Arabidopsis thaliana: one gene and its partner. The protein of the gene in region 2 interacts with the protein of the main gene of each other region in a pairwise test. Each region holds a gene or a part of one and is shown on either strand. Other genes may lie near its edges.

Evidence for each region.
Region 1: the proteins of AT5G03345 (region 2) and AT2G38330 interact in a protein complementation assay, tested with the Arabidopsis thaliana proteins (one large-scale study listed by BioGRID).

What each region holds. Positions count from the first base shown.
Region 1 is NC_003071.7:16,062,654-16,067,966, forward strand, and holds AT2G38330 (MATE efflux family protein), read left to right. Parts: upstream 1-1,849; 5' UTR 1,850-1,917; coding exon 1,918-2,132; intron 2,133-2,212; coding exon 2,213-2,322; intron 2,323-2,408; coding exon 2,409-2,561; intron 2,562-2,664; coding exon 2,665-2,786; intron 2,787-2,888; coding exon 2,889-3,024; intron 3,025-3,176; coding exon 3,177-3,273; intron 3,274-3,371; coding exon 3,372-3,472; intron 3,473-3,550; coding exon 3,551-3,714; intron 3,715-3,854; coding exon 3,855-3,926; intron 3,927-4,014; coding exon 4,015-4,131; intron 4,132-4,212; coding exon 4,213-4,308; intron 4,309-4,394; coding exon 4,395-4,516; intron 4,517-4,604; coding exon 4,605-4,665; 3' UTR 4,666-4,784; downstream 4,785-5,313. Other genes in the region: DREB19 (Integrase-type DNA-binding superfamily protein), read right to left, coding at 4,794-5,313.
Region 2 is NC_003076.8:812,369-816,133, reverse strand, and holds AT5G03345 (membrane magnesium transporter-like protein), read right to left. Parts: upstream 2,050-3,765; 5' UTR 1,939-2,049; coding exon 1,862-1,938; intron 1,765-1,861; coding exon of another isoform or gene 1,761-1,764; coding exon 1,712-1,760; intron 1,611-1,711; coding exon 1,419-1,610; 3' UTR 827-1,418; intron 744-826; coding exon of another isoform or gene 656-743; 3' UTR 515-655; downstream 1-514. Other genes in the region: AT5G03350 (Legume lectin family protein), read left to right, coding at 1-330; AtCDC48C (ATPase, AAA-type, CDC48 protein), read left to right, coding at 3,001-3,029, 3,176-3,338, 3,598-3,765. UniProt on the Arabidopsis thaliana protein: Mediates Mg(2+) transport.

The DNA of each region.
Region 1 (5,313 bases), on a different chromosome or scaffold from region 2:
TCTTCATGGTGAGTTTTTTGGTCGCATATTCTTGGTGATTCTTCTTCTACGTTTTCACTTTCTTCTTCAGAGACCTTATTAATATGTTAATTGCATGAATTTATGTAACATTCAAGAAAAAGAGATCGAATACAAGAAACCGGAAATTTAATTTCTAATTTGAATTCTATGCATGTTTGTTTCTTTGCCAATTTAGTACGAATATATTTATGGTCCGGAGTTCTAACCAAAGATAGTTGCTCTGTATATAGAAGTTATACATCTCGCTTGTTTAAACTAAATAACTATTTAGTTTGTCTTGGTAGTCCAGTGACTTTCTGCAAACATTGGGATTTATAATATAGTCAAAACGTTGGGATATGTAGTATTCATTTTCGTTGTAAAAATCATTATATTTTGCAAAGGTTGCAACGTAAAACGTTGTATTGAATTTAGGAGAAAGTAGCCATTTACAATGAATTTTAGTGACAAACTGTTGTATACAGCCTGTGCCACTAAGTATGTCTATATCTAAATTTGGAATGGATGATAACCAGTATTGGTCAATAATGGATAATTTGGTATTTAGAATTACTAATTTGGTATTTTAGTGACAAACTGTTGTATGGAATTTAGGAGAACGCGTTCCCAAGCTATATATTATATGTATTTCATTCTTTCATATGTTATATTATGAATTGTTATAAAAAAGACCAATGAGCAACGGTTTAAGGTTTAATCAGTAATCGATCCGACCAATCATATACAAGTTCCTAACACATCTTCTAACTACTGAGTAAAATAGTAATGCTATTACAAAGGTTTTTTCTTTTCAAAATACAGCCTAATGCTACTACAAAATTCTAATGTTATAAAATAATCATAGGAGAAGTAAACCCCGGTATTTAATTAATACCTTACAAACTTACATTATTGATAAAGTTGAATGAAGAGTTATATGGTCCATTTAGTATTATTTACTTAATATGATACTAGTGTTAGACGTGTTACTGTATTTCAACGTGCATAATCAGGTTGTTCAAAAAGAGAGAGGATAGGTCTTCTTCTTCTGTAATTTGCTGGGACCGCAAGTCATGTGAGGCTGCTCTGCTGATGCTGCACGGCGTCGCAACTCTCTCAATAAATTCTTTTAACTAACGCTCCAATTTTCGATGTAAATTGGCTGACTTCAATTCTATGCCTTACTCTTGTACTCTATGTTTCTTTATCTATTAAAATCCAACTCTGCTTTTGAACCCAAAAAACAAAACAAAAACCAACTCTGCTGAATCATGAAACACGTCCTTGATCTTTATTTTTATTTTTTCCCAATATATGCTCTTAAGAACTAGTTATTGCTTTTGAACCCAAAAAAAGAATTCTGAGTTTTAGGATATCAAATGATCTTACAACTTTCTATATCAAGATTCTTGAACACTAGATATGCGGATTTCAAATATACTCCCAAAAATCAAAATATGCGGACCTATAATCCAAATTTGGATCCATTCAAAAAACAACTAAACAAAATTTTAAGTGTATAAAAAAAATGCAAATCCAAGTCACAAGATAACTGGAGAAAGAGATATTTCTTTTGAGTTGTTGCTAAATTGAGAAAGTGAGTGATAATACACGAATCAAACTCATGACTTACATATGAGAGTCACGGCACAACAAAGAAAAAAGATGAAGCTATCTTAAAGATACAAAGTGTAACATTGGCAGAAAAAAAAACAAAAAACAAAGTAACAAACAAACAAGCTATTTAAAAGCCCAATAAAAAGCCCATTAAAGGCCCATCCATAAGGTACAGCTAGTTTAGACATGTGACCGTTTAATCAGTTAGTGAGTAGAGATAGATAAAAAGAGTGAACATCAACATGTGGCTCTCTTTCTTCCTCCTCCGCCGAGATTTTTCTCCGTCTCTCGTTCTCCGCAATGGCGGCGGTCGCTACCTCCTTCTGTTTCTCTCCCCATCGATCGCCGTCACGTTTTGGAAACCCTAATTCATCCATTCGAAGAACAATCGTCTGTAAATCATCTCCTCGCGATGAATCTCCAGCCGTCTCCACTTCTTCTCAGCGACCGGAAAAGCAGCAGAATCCTCTGACTTCACAGAATAAACCGGATCATGATCACAAACCGGATCCTGGGTTCGTACCTTAGCCTAATAATGCTTCTTCTGTATTCAACTTTGAATGGTTTCTAATGTATTTGATTTTTTTGGGTTTAGGATTGGTAAAATTGGAATGGAGATAATGTCAATTGCATTACCTGCTGCATTAGCTTTAGCTGCTGATCCTATAACATCTCTTGTCGACACTGCCTTCGTTGGCCATATTGGTAAATACTTACTTTTTGCTTGGTTTCAACAATTTCACATTTTTCGAAAGTTCACATTTTTAACATTCATATGTGTAATGTGACAGGTTCTGCGGAATTAGCTGCAGTAGGAGTGTCAGTTTCTGTATTCAATTTGGTGTCGAAGCTCTTCAATGTTCCTTTACTAAATGTCACAACATCGTTTGTTGCGGAGGAGCAAGCAATTGCTGCTAAGGATGATAATGATTCTATAGAAACAAGTATTTTACTTTCCTTAAAGCTTATAATGAAAAATGTTTTTATTGTTTTCTTCAAAGATTGTTTCTTTACTTTGAATCTGTTGTTTATTTGTTGGTGTTAAAGGCAAGAAAGTGCTGCCTTCGGTTTCAACTTCATTAGTTCTTGCTGCTGGAGTTGGTATTGCAGAGGCCATTGCGCTATCTCTCGGGTCTGATTTCTTGATGGATGTCATGGCTATACCTTTTGTAATGTCTCTAAGCTCACGTTGAACTTCTTTTATATAAGCTGTTATCTTTGAAGTTTTGTATAGCTGATCGCTCTTCTTTCTCGGTTTGTAATTTTTTTAGGATTCACCAATGCGGATACCAGCAGAGCAGTTCCTCAGACTTCGAGCGTATGGTGCACCACCAATTGTTGTTGCATTGGCTGCGCAAGGAGCTTTTCGAGGTTTCAAGGACACAACAACGCCTCTATATGCCGTTGGCAAGTATTGCACAATCATCTATTTTTTTTGTATTTATGCATGAATGGATCTGAGGAAATAAATAGTATATGCGCATTAGCTCACTAGACCGTATATATGCATTAGCAGTTTCACATACATGTTTCTAATATGGTGAACTCTATATCAACAGTTGCGGGGAATGTACTTAATGCGGTATTGGATCCAATCCTGATATTTGTCCTTGGTTTTGGTATCTCTGGTGCTGCGGCTGCTACTGTGATTTCTGAGTATGTCCAAAAATGTGGTAATAGACTCGTTTTCTAGTAAAGCATATCTATCTTAATTTGTGGCTTCTTATGTTTCTCACTTGTCAACGTTTCTTCAGATACTTGATTGCATTTATTCTTCTATGGAAGTTGAATGAGAATGTAGTTTTGCTCTCTCCTCAAATCAAAGTGGGAAGAGCCAACCAGTACCTCAAATCAGGTAATTCCTTAAAATTTTCAAGTTTTCTTTAAACGATTCAGAAAGGCTACTATATGAAATGTATTGATTCATGCTTAGGTGGGCTTCTCATTGGTAGAACGGTGGCTTTGCTTGTGCCATTCACATTAGCTACTTCGTTAGCAGCTCAAAATGGACCCACTCAAATGGCTGGCCATCAAATCGTCTTGGAAATCTGGTTGGCTGTCTCTTTACTCACCGATGCTTTAGCCATTGCTGCACAGGTCTAATATCTTTTGCAAATCATCTTCGAAACAGACAATCTCTACCAAGATTTACTGTGATATAAGAATCCCATTAGCATGATCCAAGATTACCTTTTGGGGAGAAGATTTTCACTTATATTTTCTACCTCTATTTTCAGAGTCTTCTTGCCACCACTTACTCTCAAGGAGAATACAAACAAGCCCGGGAAGTTCTCTTCGGAGTCCTTCAAGTTCGTATTCATAATTCATTACATCCCTAGTTTATATCCTACCCTATATATTCGATGTTATAATGTACAATTGCAATCTTTTAAGTAGGTAGGTTTAGCAACTGGAACTGGTTTGGCTGCTGTATTGTTCATCACTTTCGAACCATTTTCAAGCTTATTCACAACGGATTCAGAAGTTTTAAAGATTGCTTTGTCAGGGACCTTAGTAAGATCTTATCTTTTAATCCAGAAAGAGTTTGAAAAGGGTAGTCTCAGACAATATCTAAATAATGTTGGCTGGATGCAGTTTGTGGCTGGATCTCAACCGGTGAATGCTCTAGCGTTTGTTTTGGATGGGCTCTATTATGGTGTCTCTGACTTCGGATTTGCCGCTTATTCTATGGTCCCTTTTCCTTCTTCATCAATTGGTCGTTTGATTCTCCCTTTTCTTCACCTGGAAAAAGTTGATTATTTCTCATTTTGGAACAGGTGATTGTCGGATTCATATCTTCCTTGTTCATGCTTGTGGCTGCACCAACGTTTGGCCTTGCCGGGATCTGGACTGGTTTGTTCCTCTTCATGGCGTTGCGGTTGGTTGCTGGAGCCTGGAGGTAAACAATTAATTAAAAAGACCGTTCTAGTTTCAAGTTTTCAACCCATCCGAAATTTTTCTTAAAAGGATACTGCGTCATGTTTCAGATTGGGGACAAGAACCGGTCCATGGAAAATGCTATGGTCTGCTCCAGAGAAGCCAGAATGAAGCGGATCACTGTTTTTTGCGGTATGATGCGTGACTCTTAAGTTAAGATAAATGAAAATGGAGTAAACTAACAATGTAAAAAACATAGTCTCATAGTCATAGTATATTGATGCAGCATAAATCCTAAGCTAGAATCTGAAATACTCAAAATATGAATCGAATCCACCTCCCTGGTGATAACTGGAGCTTTGAGGTTCATTATACAACAATCCGTTATCCAATTTGAATCGATCATAGCTGTAACCTTCCTCTGATTTCACTGCTGGGTTCACTATTTCATTATCAGTCATAGGATTCTGAGTCTTGTCATGGCCAAGCTCAATAGCGTCTTCATTGTAGACTACATAGTCTTTTCCACCTTCCGTTTCAATCACGCCATTACCGGCTTTGTTAGTTTCCAACCAATAGCCTCCCGAACTTTCCGCCTCCTCGTCCTTCTTCCTTCCCCCACCCAAATCTTCCGGGAAATTTAACCTGGCATAGGGTCCGTACATGACACTAGCAGCTCTGTCGTAAGCCAAAGCAGCTTCAGCTGCAGTAGCAAACGTGCCAAGCCAAAGCCGTTTACTACGACTAGAGTTTGCACCACGGTGACTCACTGGTTCACGTATCTCAGCAACCCATTTCCCCCAAACCCTTTGTCGAACA
Region 2 (3,765 bases):
AACTCTGTTACTTCCGTTGTTGCTGAGAAAGCTGGTTATTGGGTTCAGACAGGAATTGGGAAAATGAAACACTGGTCGTTTAAAGAGTTCAAGCTGAGTAATGGAGAGAGGTACAAGGCTTGGATTGAGTATAGAAACTCCAAGGTTACAGTTACTCTCGCGCCAGAAACCGTTAAGAAACCTAAGAAGCCTTTGATCGTTGCCCATTTAGATCTCTCTAAGGTTTTTCTTCAAAATATGTACCCCGGTTTTTCTGGTGCCATGGGCCGTGGCGTTGAACGTCATGACATTTGGAGTTGGACCTTCCAGAACAGTGCCAAGAGAATCTAAACCGGTTCTGTTCGGTTATGCTTTTTCTAATGTATCAGAAAGTTGTAACCGGAATGAATAAAATAGCAAATTTTGTTGTTTTAATTGTTTGTATTTGACTATTTACACAGTATCCTATCCTGCTAGGACCTGTGCACTTGTTGTTATGTTGATTCTTCATTCTAAAAGATTCTAAGTAGAGACCTGACACACAGAAACATCACAAGACTCGTTTCAAGAATCAAAAATTGATGCAAAGCAGAGTAGTTACTTAGAGTAGAATTTCAATGGAAACATCTCATAACATTACACAGATCAGTGTTTGACTAAGCAGTGTGATAAAAATTCAAAACTTCATGTCGATCTGCGGTGGGAACAGTCTGCCACGGTGATTGAATATCATGAAATCCGAATTATCTGGTAAAAACACCGCCCTGCAAATTTTTTGAAAGAAACCAGTTAACAGGAGATATTCACTTTATCTAGCAAAAGCCAAACTCAAAACCAATTCAAGAACCTAATGTACAAAAAGGTAGGGGAGAGGCTGCGACATAGAAGGAACCAAAGTGGGTCTAAAGAGCCAATGAAACAAATATAAACTGATTGAATTAGCCAGGAGCAGAACTGGTTAAAGCTCTTGAAACCCATAATCGTAACTGGACCAAATATAAACTAGAAAATGTCCCTTTGAATGTCCTGCATTTTAGAAAACCTTAGCTGCACAAAGTATTAAAGAAACATCAATGTTTGACCTAGAACATCTCTAGACGACAGTTTCTTATCAATAAACATGAGTCTTTGGTGGTCATTCAATCATCGGGAAATATAATAACTACCAAATTTCCATGTTTCAGATTGATAAACACTGATGCACAACAGAGAGTTAAAGAGACATCAAAACTAGACCCTCGAAACATCTCTAGAGCACAAGTTCTTTGAATCAATTGATTAACAACACATCCGTAAACCTTCTCAGTCAAAAGAAAACATATTCACTAGAAACACCCATGATTAAACTGAATAATTGAACCAAATCTAGCCAGAAGATGCTTCTATAAGACCCGTAGTAACTCTACACCAAGTTCAACAAAGTACGAACAGAGAAAAATTCAATAGTAAAAACACTCACTAGATAACATGAATTCAGATTGATTAACACTGATGCAAAACAGAGAGTTCGAGAGAAACATGATCACAAACCTGTTTTCATCAGAATCCGGATGGATCGAGAGAAATTTACCAGGGAAAGTCAAAGCAGCCCACATACACAGAGCTAGTCCAATGATCAACTCCAGAATAACCTTAAATAAATCCAATCATGATTCATATAAAAGCATAATCATTGCTGATATAATTCAAACACAATTGAGGAAAAGAGAAACCGTTATCATTATATACTCACATTAATCGGTGGTCGAGAAAACTCTTCCTCCATAATCTTCAACAATCCTCTATCTGAAATAAACAAGAGAAACCCAAATCAAGATCCTATCTCGAAAATTAAAGTAGATCTGACTCAATTGGAACTGGAATTGGATTGGGAAGAGTAGACATACATTGGATTGTTGAATAAGCGGCATGAGAAAGAATAAGAACGCCGAAAACTCCAACTAAGAACCCCAAATTCATCTTTAGAAGTTCTCTTTTTTAATTTTCTTCTTCTCTAAGTTGATTCCCGATCTGGATTTTCTCGTCGAGTATTCTCCGTCGAGAATCGAACTAGAATAGAAGACGATCAGTGGAGTTTAAAACGGCATGTAGTTATAATATCGCAAATCTCAAAGTGAAAACGGCGCAACGTCTAATATCGAAGAGACTAACAACGGCGCGTAGTTCTAGATTGATGATATCCTAGATTCCTATTAATCTTTTGTAACCCAAACTTTTTTTTAAGTAACTAATATTTTTAATTAGATGAAAGTTCAGTTAGTTTGATAACTTTTTTACAACAATAAGGGTTTATCTTTTGGGAAAATAATTATTTTTTCGTATAATAAATAATTATGAATATTTATTTAGAATTTCATATTGATGATATATTCATATGCAAACAAAAATTTCTGCAATTATTGAATTGAATCGTATGTTGATAACTTCGTATAAAAAAAACGGAAATCTATTTTAGAACAAAGAAATCAAATGGTAAGATATTAAATTTCTATTTATAAAAAAGTAAGAAAAACATGTAGCTTGCTTTGGTACCGCTACCTAAGAACCTTCTATTCCTTTCTTGTGTTTGCTAAAACCAGAAAGTAAAACTGTTATCCTCACCTCTCTTTTACTTTTATTTTCAACTTTCCCCCATAACGTTTTTAATAAACATTTACGTACCCTCGCCACACTATTAAAATAAGTTTAAAATTACATCAAATTTTTTAATTCTTCATATAGGTAGATTTTTGTTTTGATTCTCGATAAATCATATAATAATATAAATTAATTGATATGATGTTAAGGGAACATGGGTGTATTTATCACAACACCTAGTTTTTGGAACTTTTCAAGATAAACTTAAAAGTTAAGGGTCGCTTATTTTTCCAACAAGAAGGAAATCACAGAGCGTATAAAATCCCGAGTTCAGCTCCCTTGAGATCCCATTCATCATCATCATCATCATCACCAATCGATCTCTCTAGAAACAAATTTCCCAACTTCCTTCTTAGAGCTCTCTTGTCAGTTTAAGCTATCATTATGTCAAACGAACCGGAATCCTCCGACTCGTAAGTACTTAGATCTTTGATTTTTGTTTTCCGATCATAAAGTTTCGATTTTTTTACTTGGGTTTTTCGATATTGAGAATAGGGTTTTTTAGTTTGATCTCATCTGAAAGCTGATTTTGTTTGTCTTCCTGGGGTATTTGTTTCAGGAAAACTAAGAAGGATTTCAGTACTGCGATTCTAGAGAGGAAGAAGTCTCCAAACCGACTTGTTGTCGATGAAGCTATTAACGATGACAACTCTGTTGTCTCTCTCCATCCTACTACCATGGAAAAACTCCAGCTTTTCCGAGGCGATACAATTCTCATCAAGGTTAGGTTTTGTTCCTTATGTCACTATGTTAGGGTGTTTTGAGTTTAGACTTGGTTTGGATCGTCTGTGTCTTGACTGTATATCACGAGCATGTTGTAAACATATTCAGTTATGTTTTTTACTTTGTCTGATCTTGTAAACATATTCAGTTAGGGTACAACTTTTTTGTCTGAAGTTTTTTTTTTTGAGTTTAGAATTGGTTTGGATTGTTCTTTTTATCTCTGTGATTACTTACTTGATTGGGGTTTTGGATTTTCAGGGTAAGAAGAGGAAGGACACTGTATGCATTGCCCTCGCTGATGAAACATGTGAGGAACCCAAGATCAGAATGAATAAGGTTGTAAGGTCTAACTTGAGGGTTAGGCTGGGAGATGTTATTTCTGTTCACCAATGCCCAGATGTCAAGTATGGAAAGCGTGTTCACATC